Macaca fascicularis: one gene and its partner. The protein of the gene in region 1 interacts with the protein of each later gene in a pairwise test. Links are inferred from orthologs where the notes say so. Each region holds a gene or a part of one and is shown on either strand. Other genes may lie near its edges.

Region 1 (5,475 bases):
TGCTTTGGCCACTAAAGAACTGTGCAAATGTTAAATACTAGGTTTAGCCATAACAATCCTTTTAGTAACAAACCAAAGAGAAGGGTCAAACACTGGCAAGTATCTTGGAGTACAACCACAGGAGTTCCCCCATGTGCTGACTGGGGCAAACTCTACCCTCCAAAAGAAAAGATGCTCTCTTGGCCTGAGACACCTGTGAGCTGTCCCAGCAGGGGACCAGCCACCTTCCCACTTTCTAGAGCTACAGACAGCTGGGATGGCTAAGTAGGCAGTCCAGGCTGACGGCTCACCAAGGCCACCTCCCTGTCTACACAGTCCCACAGACATCTGGGGCCCCTTCAGTCCTGGGAAAGACCCATATCTCAGCAACTGCAAGTTAAGGTCAAGCAGAGAAATGTGGGATTGCTGCCTTCACGCCTGCTGCAGAAGCTGAGGTCTCAGGTCTGATACAGCAAGTGTACTGGGAATAAGGGAATACAATACCAGAAACTGGGATTCTAGAAAACACAATAGTTACTGTTTACTAAGTGCGAGGTACCTTTCTAACAGTTTTGCATATATGTTCAAATTTCATGCTTAAAACGATACAAATTTATTACCTTACAGTTAGGGAGGACAGAAGTCCAAAATGGGTCACACTGGGCTAAAATCATGGTGCCAGCAGAGCTGTGCTCCTTCTGGAGGCTACAGGGGAAAATCCTTTGCCTTCTCCAGCTTCTAGGGAAGGGCTGGCCATGCCCCTCAGCTCATGGCCCCCTTCCAGCAGTCACATGAGTCTGACCTCCGCTGCCATCCTCACATCTCCTTCTCTGACTCTGAGGCCCCGCCTCCCTCTTGTATAACTAAGGACCCCTGTGATGACAATGGGCCCACCTGGAGAATCCAGGCCAACCACCCCATCTCCAGGTCCTTAATCACACTGGCAAAATCTTTTTTTGCCATGGAAGGTAGCAAAGCCACAGGTTCCAGGGATGAGTATGTGGACATCTTTGGGGAGCGTTATTCTGCTTGCCACACAGTAACCCCTGCCGTAACTCTGGGCGATGGCATGTTCTATCATTATCTTCAATCAGAAACTGATGTGTGGGGAGGTGACGTATCATAACTCATCCAGGGTCACACAGCTAGTAAGTGGCAGAGCTGGGATTCAAATCTAAGGTTTTCTGGCTCCAGAATCTTCTCTGAAGTGAAAGGCATGAGGCCGACCACTCCCTGATCTGGTAAACAGAGATGTCAGGCTGGTTTGTGGTGTTAGGGAGTTTCCTGGGGTGATGGTACAGGGCACATGTCTGCCCTGCATCCTAAGTCCAGAGACTGGGTTCTAGGTCCAGCCTTGCGTCTAACTCCCTGAGAGATGAGAGCCTTTGGGCAAAGTCCCTCCGTGCTCTTCAGTCTGTTCATCTGTGAGATGGTGGCGTGGGAAGGGGCTGGAGTGATCTCACAGTTCTTCTCAGCCTGCATCACGGGCTCTAGGACTCAGGTCCTGTCAGTAACCTGCTGGGGGAGGTCTGGGCCTTCCAGGAGAAACCTGACAAGATGATGCTGCAAACACGAACGGACACACTGCACTTTACGTTCACAGGCTGTCTCAGGGGCCTCCAAAAACCCTGACCATTCTTGCCCCATTTTGCAGATAAAAAACTGAGGCTCAGAGAGATTACATAACTTGCCCACAATCTTCCTCCAGCAAGATGGAGGCCAAGTGAAATGAGAAAGGTGGTCTCCTGCCACTTCCTTACCCGAGGGTCTTCTCCCCACACCAGGGCTTCCCGAGGGCTGAGATCCAGTCTCACGTGTGCGTGATCAAATGTAAGTGTGAACAATGCGAAGGGAGACGTCTTCAATCTAAGGGGCTTCAATTCTGTAATGTAATTCTGAGATTATGCCCTTTTCTTTTCAAGTCTTTCCTTTTTGAAGTGATGGTCTTTACAATATCTTTACAAGACAGAATTAAAAGTTGGCAGCTCTGAATTACTCTCAAGAGTGTTTTGATGCAAGAGGTCTCCGAAACCTCAGTCTGGGAGCCACGGAGCGCTCTCCCCTCTCCCCAGGTTTACCAGTTTGGGAGGCTTGGAGAGAGGCCTGGAGGACCTGCTGGGGACTAAAGAAGCGCACTGGTGGGAGGACAGGATGGGGGGAAGGGGAAGGGGAGTGAAGTAGTCTCCCTGGAATGCAGGATGGTGGGGGAGGAGGTCTCCTGGGTGGAGGAGTCCCAGCGTCCCTCCACCCTCTCCTCTGCCAACACAATGGACAATGGCAACCGCCCACACACTCCCATGGAGGGGAAGGGATGAGTGCAGGGAACCCCGACCCCACCCCAGGGACCTGCAAGCCTGCAGACACTCCCCTCCCACCCCCACTGAACCCTTGACCCCTGCCCTGCAGCCCCCGCAGCTTGCTGTTTGCCCACTCTATTTGCCCAGCCCCAAGGACAGAGCTGATCCTTGAACTCTTAAGTTCCACATTGCCAGGACCCGTGAGCAGCAACAGGGCTGGGGCTGGGCTTATCTGCCTCCCAGCCCAGCCCCTGGCTGGAGACATAAATAGGCCCCGCAAGGGCTGGCTGCTTAGAGACTGCGAGAAGGAGGTGAGTCCTGCTCCCTGCTCCGGGTGACTCTGGCTCCCCAGCTCGAGGGTCAGGCCCTGCTCCAGGCCGGGCCTCCGGGTACCTGAGGTCTTCTCCCACTCTGCGCCCTTCTCCTCACCTTGCTGCAATGAATGGGGGAGCACGGGGCTTCCGCATGCTAGAGGCCCCCCACTCAACCAGCCCCTTCTTCTCCTCCAGGTCCCCCACGGCCCTTCAGGATGAAAGCTACGGTGCTGACCTTGGCCGTGCTCTTCCTGACGGGTAGGTGTCCCCCAGCCTAGGGAGCCAACCATCGGGGGGCTTTCTCCCCAAACCCCTGTGGCCCACCCTCCTGGGCAGAGGCAGCGCCCTCTCCCCCACCTCCAAGCTTGGCCTTTCGGCTCAGATCTCAGCCCACAGCTGGCCTGATCTGGGTCTCCCCTCCCACCCTCAGGGAGCCAGGCTCGGCATTTCTGGCAGCAAGATGAACCCCCACAGACCCCCTGGGATCGAGTGAAGGACCTGGTCACTGTGTACGTGGAAGCACTCAAAGACAGCGGCAAAGACTATGTGTCCCAGTTTGAAGGCTCCGCCTTGGGAAAACAGCTAAAGTAAGGACCCAGCCTGGGGTTGAGGGCAGGGGCAGGGGCCAGAGGCCTGTGGGAAGATGTTGAAGCCAGACTGGCCGAGTCCTCACCTACTATCTGATGAGCTGGGTCCCACAGATGGTCTGGATGGAGAAACCGGAATGGGATCCCTATGCAGGGTCACAGCCCATGCCCCCTTGCAAAGGACAGACGAGGGCTGCCCGACCTGTGATCACAGTGCCACATTGTGCCTGCAAGTGTAGCAGACCCCTTTCCCTTCTTCACCACCTCCTCTACCCCTGCCCAGCAAGAGTGTGGGCTGTCTTCGGAGAGGCGAATGTGCTGGAGGCATAGAAGCGAGGTCCTTCAAGGGCCCACTTTGGAGACCAACGTAACTGGGCACCAGTCCCAGCTCTGTCTCCTTCTTAGCTCCTCTCTGTGCCTCGGTCCAGCTGCACAAAGGGGCATGGCCTGGCGGGGCAGGGGTTTTGGTTGAGCGTGTACTGGAAACGCAAGGCCACTGCACCTCCGCGAACAGGTGTTGCCCAGGGCTCACCCCGGTAGGCTGGGGCGCTGGGAGGCCAGCCCTCAACCCTTCTGTCTCACGCCCCAGCCTAAAGCTCCTGGACAACTGGGACAGCGTGACCTCCACCGTCAGCAAGCTGCGAGAACAGCTCGGCCCGGTGACCCAGGAGTTCTGGGATAACCTGGAAAAGGAGACAGAGGGCCTGAGGCAGGAGATGAGCAAGGATCTGGAGGAGGTGAAGGCCAAGGTGCAGCCCTACCTGGACGACTTCCAGAAGAAGTGGCAGGAGGAGATGGAGCTCTACCGCCAGAAGGTGGAGCCGCTGCGCGCGGAGCTCCACGAGGGCACGCGCCAGAAGCTGCACGAGCTGCACGAGAAACTGAGCCCGCTGGGCGAGGAGGTGCGCGACCGCGCGCGCGCCCACGTGGACGCGCTGCGCACGCATTTGGCCCCCTACAGCGATGAGCTGCGCCAGCGCCTGGCCGCGCGCCTTGAGGCGCTCAAGGAGAACGGCGGCGCCCGCCTGGCCGAGTACCACGCCAAGGCCAGCGAGCATCTGAGCACGCTCAGCGAGAAGGCCAAGCCCGCGCTCGAGGACCTCCGCCAGGGCCTGCTGCCCGTGCTGGAGAGCTTCAAGGTCAGCTTCCTGAGCGCTCTCGAGGAGTACACTAAGAAGCTCAGCACCCAGTGAGGCGCCCGCCGCCGCCCCCCTTCCCGGTGCTCAGAATAAACGTTTCCGAAGTGGGAAGCCGCTTCTTTCTTTTGGGAGAATAGAGGGGGGTGCGGGGACATCGGGGGAGCCCGGATGGGGCCTTTGGCCCTGAAGCAGGGACTTCCAGCCGGAGTTCAACAACTCCGTGCCCAGACTGGGCGTCTTAGGGCCAAGATCGACGTTGGAGGACCTGCTGGACGCCTGGCTGCTTACGAGTGAGGGAGTAGAGTCTGCCTTACCAAGGCTCAAGTAGAAAGGAAGTCACAGTGGACCAGGCAAAGCCACAGACAATCCAAGGCCAGCTGCCCTGAAAGGGACTCAGACAAGGCCTGCAGCCCTGTCTGGGGCAGGACAGGAAACAGGGTTGCTTTAGTTGGGAGCAGTGGGTTCCCCGTCCCCAGAGGTGTTCCGTACAGAGCCTTCTCCAGCCCAGTCGCTGTCAGCGGGGCGGGGCGGGGCGGGACGGAGCGGGGCGGCCTCAGGGAGTCACTGGGATTGGGGTGTGGCCCCGGGTGCAAGTGAAGTGCTTGGAGTTTGAGCGCCTCCTCCTTTATGAATTCAAAAACTTCTCGAACACTTCCCTCTTCTTCTCACAAGGCCAGTATCCCCCTCCCACTACTCCCATCCCACCCAGAAACAGCCACCGCTTCCTCAGGCACGGCAGTGTAAGCCAGCCCTCCACCCGCTGCGGCTCCATGCCATGCCACCGGCTCCATGCCATGCCACCCCCTCTTTCCGCTAGCCCTGGCAGAAGCTGGCCTGAGTCAGAAAAATCACCACCACCTCTTGCAGGTACATTTTTATTTCCGAGATGCTCTCATATCTGTGATCTCACTGCATCCTTCCTTCCTCCCATCCTGGCTAGATTGCCATCAGAGGCACAGCATGGATGAGGATGCTGAAACCTGGAGATGTGACGTCGCTTGCCCAGTGAACAGCAGGATGGGCTAGGCAGTGCTTTTTAGACCCTGCACCCCTGGCCATCCATGATTATTAAAAAGAGTGTGTGGGTCAGGCACGGTGGCTCAAGCGTGTAATCCCAGCACTTTGGGAGGCTGAGGCGGGCATATCACTTGAGGCCAGG
Region 2 (5,867 bases), on another chromosome or scaffold:
CTGTCTGTGGGATTAGGAGGTCCGCTGGGCTGGGTGGGCCAACTTCTGTGCTTCAGTTTCCCAGATGGACCAGAGCACGTTGAAGTCTAAACACTTTACCCTTAGTTGGGCATGGTGGCTCACGCCTGTAATCCCAGCACTTTGGGAGGCCAAGGCAGGCAGATCACTTGAGGTCAGGAGTTCGAGACCAGCCTGGGCAACATGGTGAAATCTCGTCTTTACTAAAAATACAAAAAATACCATGTGTAGTGTTGCACACCTGTAGTTCCAGGTACTTAATGAGGCTGAGGTAGGAGAATTGCCTGAACCCGGGAGGTGGAGGTTGCAGTGAGACCAGATCGCACCACTGTACTCCAGCCTGGGCAACACAGCAAGACTCCATTTCAAAAAATGAAAAATAAGACCGGGCACGTGGCTCACACCTGTAATCCCAGCACTTTGGGAGGCTGAGGTGGGCGGATCAAGAGGTCAGGAGATTGAGACCATCCTGGCTAACATGGTGAAACCCCATCTCTACTAAAAATACAAAAAATTAGCTGGCATGGTGGCGGACGCCCGTAGTCCCAGCTACTTGGGAGGCTGAGGCAGGATAATGGCGTGAACCCGGGAGGCGGAGCTTACAGTGAGCCAAGAGCGCGCCACTGCACTCCAGCCTGGGCAACAGAGCAAGACTCCATCTCAAAAAAAAAAAAAAATAAAAAATAAAATAAAATAAAATAAAAATAAGAAACGTTTCACCCTGACCTGGCTTTCAAGGCCTGTCATCTCTTGCTACCAACCCCTTCTTTTTTTTTTTGAGATATAGTTTTGCTCTGTCACCCAGACTAGAGTGCAATGGCACTGTCTTGGCTCACTGCAACCTCTGCCTCCCAGGTTCAAGCGATTCTCCTGCCTCAGACTCCCGAGTAGCTAGGACTATAGGTGCCTGGCACCACACCCAGCTAATTTTTGTATTTTTAGTACAGAGAGGGTTTCATTATGTTGAGCAGGCTAGTCTTGAACTCCTGACCTCATGATCTGCCCGCTCGGCCTCCCATAGTGCTGGGATTACTGGCGTGAGCCACCGTGCCAGGAGTTTTTTTTTTTTTTTTTTTTTTTTTTTTTTGAGACAGAGTCTCGCCTTGTCACCCAGGCTGGAGTGCAGTGGCACGATCTCAGCTCACTGCAACCTCCACCTCCCGGGTTCAAGTGATTCTCCTGCCTCAGACTCCCCAGTAGCTAGGACTACAGGCATGCACCACCACGCCTGGCTAATTTTGTATTTTTAGTAGACACGGGGTTTCTCCATGATAGTCAGGCTGGTCTTGAACTCCCGACCTCAGGTGATCCGTTTGCCTTGGCCTCCCAAAGTGCTGGGATTACAGGTGTGAGGCACTGTGCCTGGCCTCCAAACAATCTTTCTAAGTTTAGGCCTGGCTCGATGTTTTGATTCCTTCCTTTTTCTTTTCTTTTCTTTTCTTTCCTTCTTTCTTTCTTTTTTTTTTTTTTGTTGTTGTTGAGACAGGGTCACATTCTGTTACCCAGGCTGGAATGCAGTGGCACAAACATGGCGCACTGCAGCCTCAATCTCCTGGGCTCAAGGGTTCCTCTTGCCTCAGCCTCCCAAGTAGCTGGGACTACAGGCGTGGGCCACCATGCCCGGCTAATTTTTTTTGTATTTCTAGTAGAGACGGGGTTCTCGCACTCCTGACCTCAAGTGATCCACCCACCTCAGCCTTCCAAAGTGCTGGGATTACAGGTGTGAGTCACTGTGCTCTGCACATTCTTCACTGTTTATTCCCCACGCTGAAACAGTTTCCAACACTTAGCAGATGCTCAATAAATATTTTTTAAGGAATGAATGACTCTCTAACTTGCCAAAGGGAGCAAGGGTGGGTTTGATGATGTACTGAGCATCTACATGTACCAGACACCCTGTAGGCCCTCTCCTTTACTTCCCCGCAGAACCACCAGTTTATAGGAGAGGAAGCTGAGGCTGACAGTAATGACCCTCTGTCAAGATCACACAGGAAGTAAGGGGTGCTACGCCAGCCTGGGGACGCAGGTCTGGCCAAGCTTGGATCCTTCATTTTCATTATCTCACAACACCATCTTTTTTTTTTTCTAATAGAAACAGGATCTTACCACATTGGTCAGGCTGGTCTCGAACCTCTGGGCTCAAGCAATCCTCCCATCTCAGCCTCCCATAGTGCTAGGATTACAGGTGTGAACCACTGTACCTGGACAAGACCATCTTTTTTTTTTGAGACAGAGTCTCGTTCTGTCACCCAGGCCCGAGTTCAGTGGCGCAATGTCAGCTCACTGTAACCCCCGCCTTTCTGGTTCGAGCAATTCCCCTGACTCAGCCTCCTGACTAGCTGGGATTACAGTCGCACGCCACCACGCCTGGCTAATTTTTTTGTATTTTTAGTAGAGACAGGGTTTCACCATATTGGCCAGACTGGTCTCGAACTCCTGACCTCAGGCAATCCGCCCACCTCGGCCTCCCAAAGTGCTGGGATTACAAGCATGAGCCACGGTGCCCAGCCCAAGACCATCTTTTAAAATGTGGCCTGGATGAGAGTCAGGGAAACTGTCCCTGAAGTCTAAGCACCCTGAGATCTAGTTGTGTGACCAGAGGGACGTTGTCAGCCTCTCTGGGACTTGTTTTTTTTTTCAATCTGTTCATCTTGGACCATCCTCCAGGGCTCCACCCAAAAACACAACCCAGCCCTCCTGTGCCCTGGGAAGGGTTCTAACCGTGTCTTGGCAGGAAATTCACTCTGTTTGATGCGGTTGATCACTTCCCAAGCCTTGTCCTCCAGGGTGTTTCCAAACTCCTTCAGCTTATCCAAGGCGCTGGAGACATCCGGGGCCCCCTGGGCTGGGGCTGGGCCTGCCAGGAATATGGGCAGGGGTTCAACATTTTTCTTTTTTTTTTTTTTTTGAGACGGAGTCTTGCTCTGTAGCCCAAGCTGGAGTGCAGTGGTATAATCTCGGCTCACTGCAACCACCACCTTCTGGGTTCAAGCAGTTCTCCTGCCTCAGCCTCCCAAGTAGCTGGGATTACAGGTGCGTGCATCCATACCCGGCTAATTTTTTGTATTTTTAGTAGAGACGGAGTTTCACCATGTGGGCCAGGCTGGTTTCGAACTCCTGACCTCAAGTGATCTGCCCGCCTCGGCCTTCCAAAGTGCTGGGGTTACAGGCATGAGCCACCCTGCCCAGCCAAAAATTTGTTATTGGAACCCCCTTAGGATGGGATCCCGGGATGGATAAGGAGATCTTTGGGGATCATGTGGTTAGAATGGGGAGGATACTGGAGTGACCTAGTGGGGCTCAAGCCGCTGGGAGTTGCCTTACTCAGCACCGACCCCTCCCGGAGCCCCCCATCCCGCTTACCCACTTTCAAGGCTGTAGAAACAGGACAGCCAATCCCAGAGGTGTGGGCGTCAATACGTCATCGGTTGCTAGGGCTCTCCTGGGCAGATTTGGCGCCTGCCGAACTGAGCCTGGGCGAACCTGGAGACCCACCCGACCACAATGGGGCAACCACGACCCAGAAGGGGCCCCAGAGCTCTCAGAAGTCCTCTAAGCCGGGACCCCCGGCCTGTAGCCACCTTCACTCTTCCAAAAGTCCAACTCCGCATTCTCCCATCCCACTTTTACCTTCCAAGACCATCGACAGAACCACCACCAGGACCGGGAGCGACAGGAAGAGCCTCATGGCGGGGCCGGAGGGGCACTCTGGAGGCAGAGGGAGGGGTGCAGGAGATCAGTGGCACCGTCCTCCCTCCCTCCTTCCCACGATCCCCTCATCTCCCTTTTTTGAGTTCTTGCAGAGTGGAGGCTGGTGTCCCTCCCAAGCACTCAGCACCAACCTGAATCCTTCCTGGAGGGCTGGTGTGGGAGGTCCCGGCCCGCAGGACCTTTATCAGGCTGGGGAGGGGGCGGGGCAGGTTGATGTTGATCTCCCTCCTCCTGAGCCTGCCTCCCTGTGTCCACCCACGTTTTTCTCCTCTGTCCCTGGCCCGTGGGCGTTGGGGTCAGGTGGGGTCCCGGGCACTTCCCTTAGCCCCAGAGCCCCTTACGGTTCAGCATTCTCATCTCCCAATCTTCCTGACTCTGGGGGGTCCTCAGACTACTACAGTCCCTTTCCCCACTCAGAGGACAGCCTCGTCCTGTCCCTGTGGACATCTTTCCTCAGGGGCCTTCTAGTAATAACCCTGTGATCTCATCCGCCCCTCATTCACACCATGTCCCTAGACCACCTCTTTCCCCCACTTCCCCTCTCTTAGCAAGCCTCCTCAGCCCCAACAACTTTTCCTTTATGTTGCTGGGGTCTCAGTTGGCCCCGCACTCCTACCCTGCGTGCCACCTCCAATTTCTTTCAGACCAGCCCTTGAAGCACCTCAGACCACCCTGATACTCTCTGGGCTCTTAAGTTGATGGTTCTCAGTGTCCCTTTTTTTGTGAGGGGGTCACCTTAGCTGGACGACACTGTAAAAACCTCACTTGCATTAGCCAGGTGTGGTGGCTCATGCCTGTAATTCCAGCGCTTTGGGAAGCTGAGGGAGGATCGCTTGAGCCCAGGAGTTCGAGACCAGCCTGGGCAATATAGGGAAACCTCATCTCTACAAACAAATTCAAAAATTAGCCGGGTGTGGTGGCGCATGCCTGTAGTCCCAGCTACTCAAGAGGCTGAGGTAGGAAGATTGCTTGAGCCCAGGAGTTCGAGGCTGCAGTGAGATATGATTGCGCCACTGCACTCCAGCCTGGTGGGACAGAGTGAGACCCTATCTCAAAAAGTTAAAACCCTCAGCTGAAAAGTTCTGAGTGTATGCCCCTTCCTCCCTTCCACCAGGACTCACCCCCTTTGCCTGACTACCTCCCCACAACACTCCATCTGCTCTTATTCACCCTCCAAGGCCCCTCCTGGCACCAAGCCTGCTTCCCCCCATCACCACATCCGTCCCCCAAGGCTGGAGTCCAATTCCTTCCCCACCAGCTGCCTTTGACCGCCAGTGACCCTGGCAGCTGGTGGGGAGGGTGTCCTCGGCCCAGCCTCAGACTCTAGGTTGGCTGGCCTTGTGCCCCCACAACCACGTGTCAGCCTGGCGGTAGGGGGATGGTTGTGAAAGGGACAGCATAGACAAGACCCTGGCAGGATTGCAACATCCCTCTGGCCAGTTCAGAGCTTCCAGTCCCTGTCAGCCCCAGAGGCCCCCCTACTTCCCCAACTGAGCCCAACATTCCCCAAACATCCACCCAGATGTCTGCTTCCCTGACCCCACAAGAATGGAACAACAGGGCTCCTGTTTTCCAGCCTCATCCTCTCCTCTGCTCTAGGAGTTTCTGTTTTATAGATGGGGAAACTGTCGCCCAACCAAGAACATCCAGTAGGGCTCAGCGAGGGGCAAAGATGGGGGCTACTGGCTGGTTGCAGTGGTTCATGCCTGTAATCCCAGAACTTTGGGAGGCCGAGGTGGGCGGAACACTTGAGGTCAGGAGTTGGAGACCCACCTGGCCAGCATGGTGAAACTCCGTCTCTACCAAAAATTCAAAAGTTATTCAGGGATGGTGGTGTGCACCTGTGGTCCCAGCTACTCAGGAGGCTGAGGCAGGAGAGTCGCTTGAACCATGAGGTGGAGGTCCCAGTGAGCCGAGATTGTGCCACTGCACTCTAGCTTGGGTGACAGAGTGAGACTCTGTCTCAAAAACATAAAAAATAAAAAAAAAGGGGCTCTTTGTCTTTCTCCTTCCCAGGCTCCAGGATATCTCTCTGGATTGTTGCTGGATCAGCTCCTGTCCCATACGACTCCCTGCCAGCCTTTGTTCTGGAACCTCCTTCCCATCCTTGCATCACCTCTGGATCTGACTGGGGATGT

Evidence for each region. The genes of interacting proteins can lie anywhere in the genome.
Region 2: the proteins of APOA1 (region 1) and APOC1 interact in a two-hybrid assay, tested with the Homo sapiens proteins (2 studies listed by BioGRID, with this or other methods). The link is inferred for Macaca fascicularis from reciprocal best matches to the Homo sapiens genes APOA1 and APOC1.

Annotation. Positions count from the first base shown.
Region 1 is NC_088388.1:115,687,946-115,693,420, reverse strand, and holds APOA1 (apolipoprotein A-I), read left to right. Parts: upstream 1-2,533; 5' UTR 2,534-2,587; exon of another isoform or gene 2,588-2,674; intron 2,675-2,785; 5' UTR 2,786-2,805; coding exon 2,806-2,848; intron 2,849-3,020; coding exon 3,021-3,177; intron 3,178-3,766; coding exon 3,767-4,370; 3' UTR 4,371-4,427; downstream 4,428-5,475. UniProt on the Homo sapiens protein: Participates in the reverse transport of cholesterol from tissues to the liver for excretion by promoting cholesterol efflux from tissues and by acting as a cofactor for the lecithin cholesterol acyltransferase (LCAT).
Region 2 is NC_088393.1:52,946,289-52,952,155, reverse strand, and holds the start of APOC1 (apolipoprotein C-I, basic form), read right to left. Parts: upstream 3,887-5,867; 5' UTR 3,861-3,886; intron 3,727-3,860; 5' UTR 3,707-3,726; coding exon 3,649-3,706; intron 2,876-3,648; coding exon 2,740-2,875; intron 1-2,739. UniProt on the Homo sapiens protein: Inhibitor of lipoprotein binding to the low density lipoprotein (LDL) receptor, LDL receptor-related protein, and very low density lipoprotein (VLDL) receptor.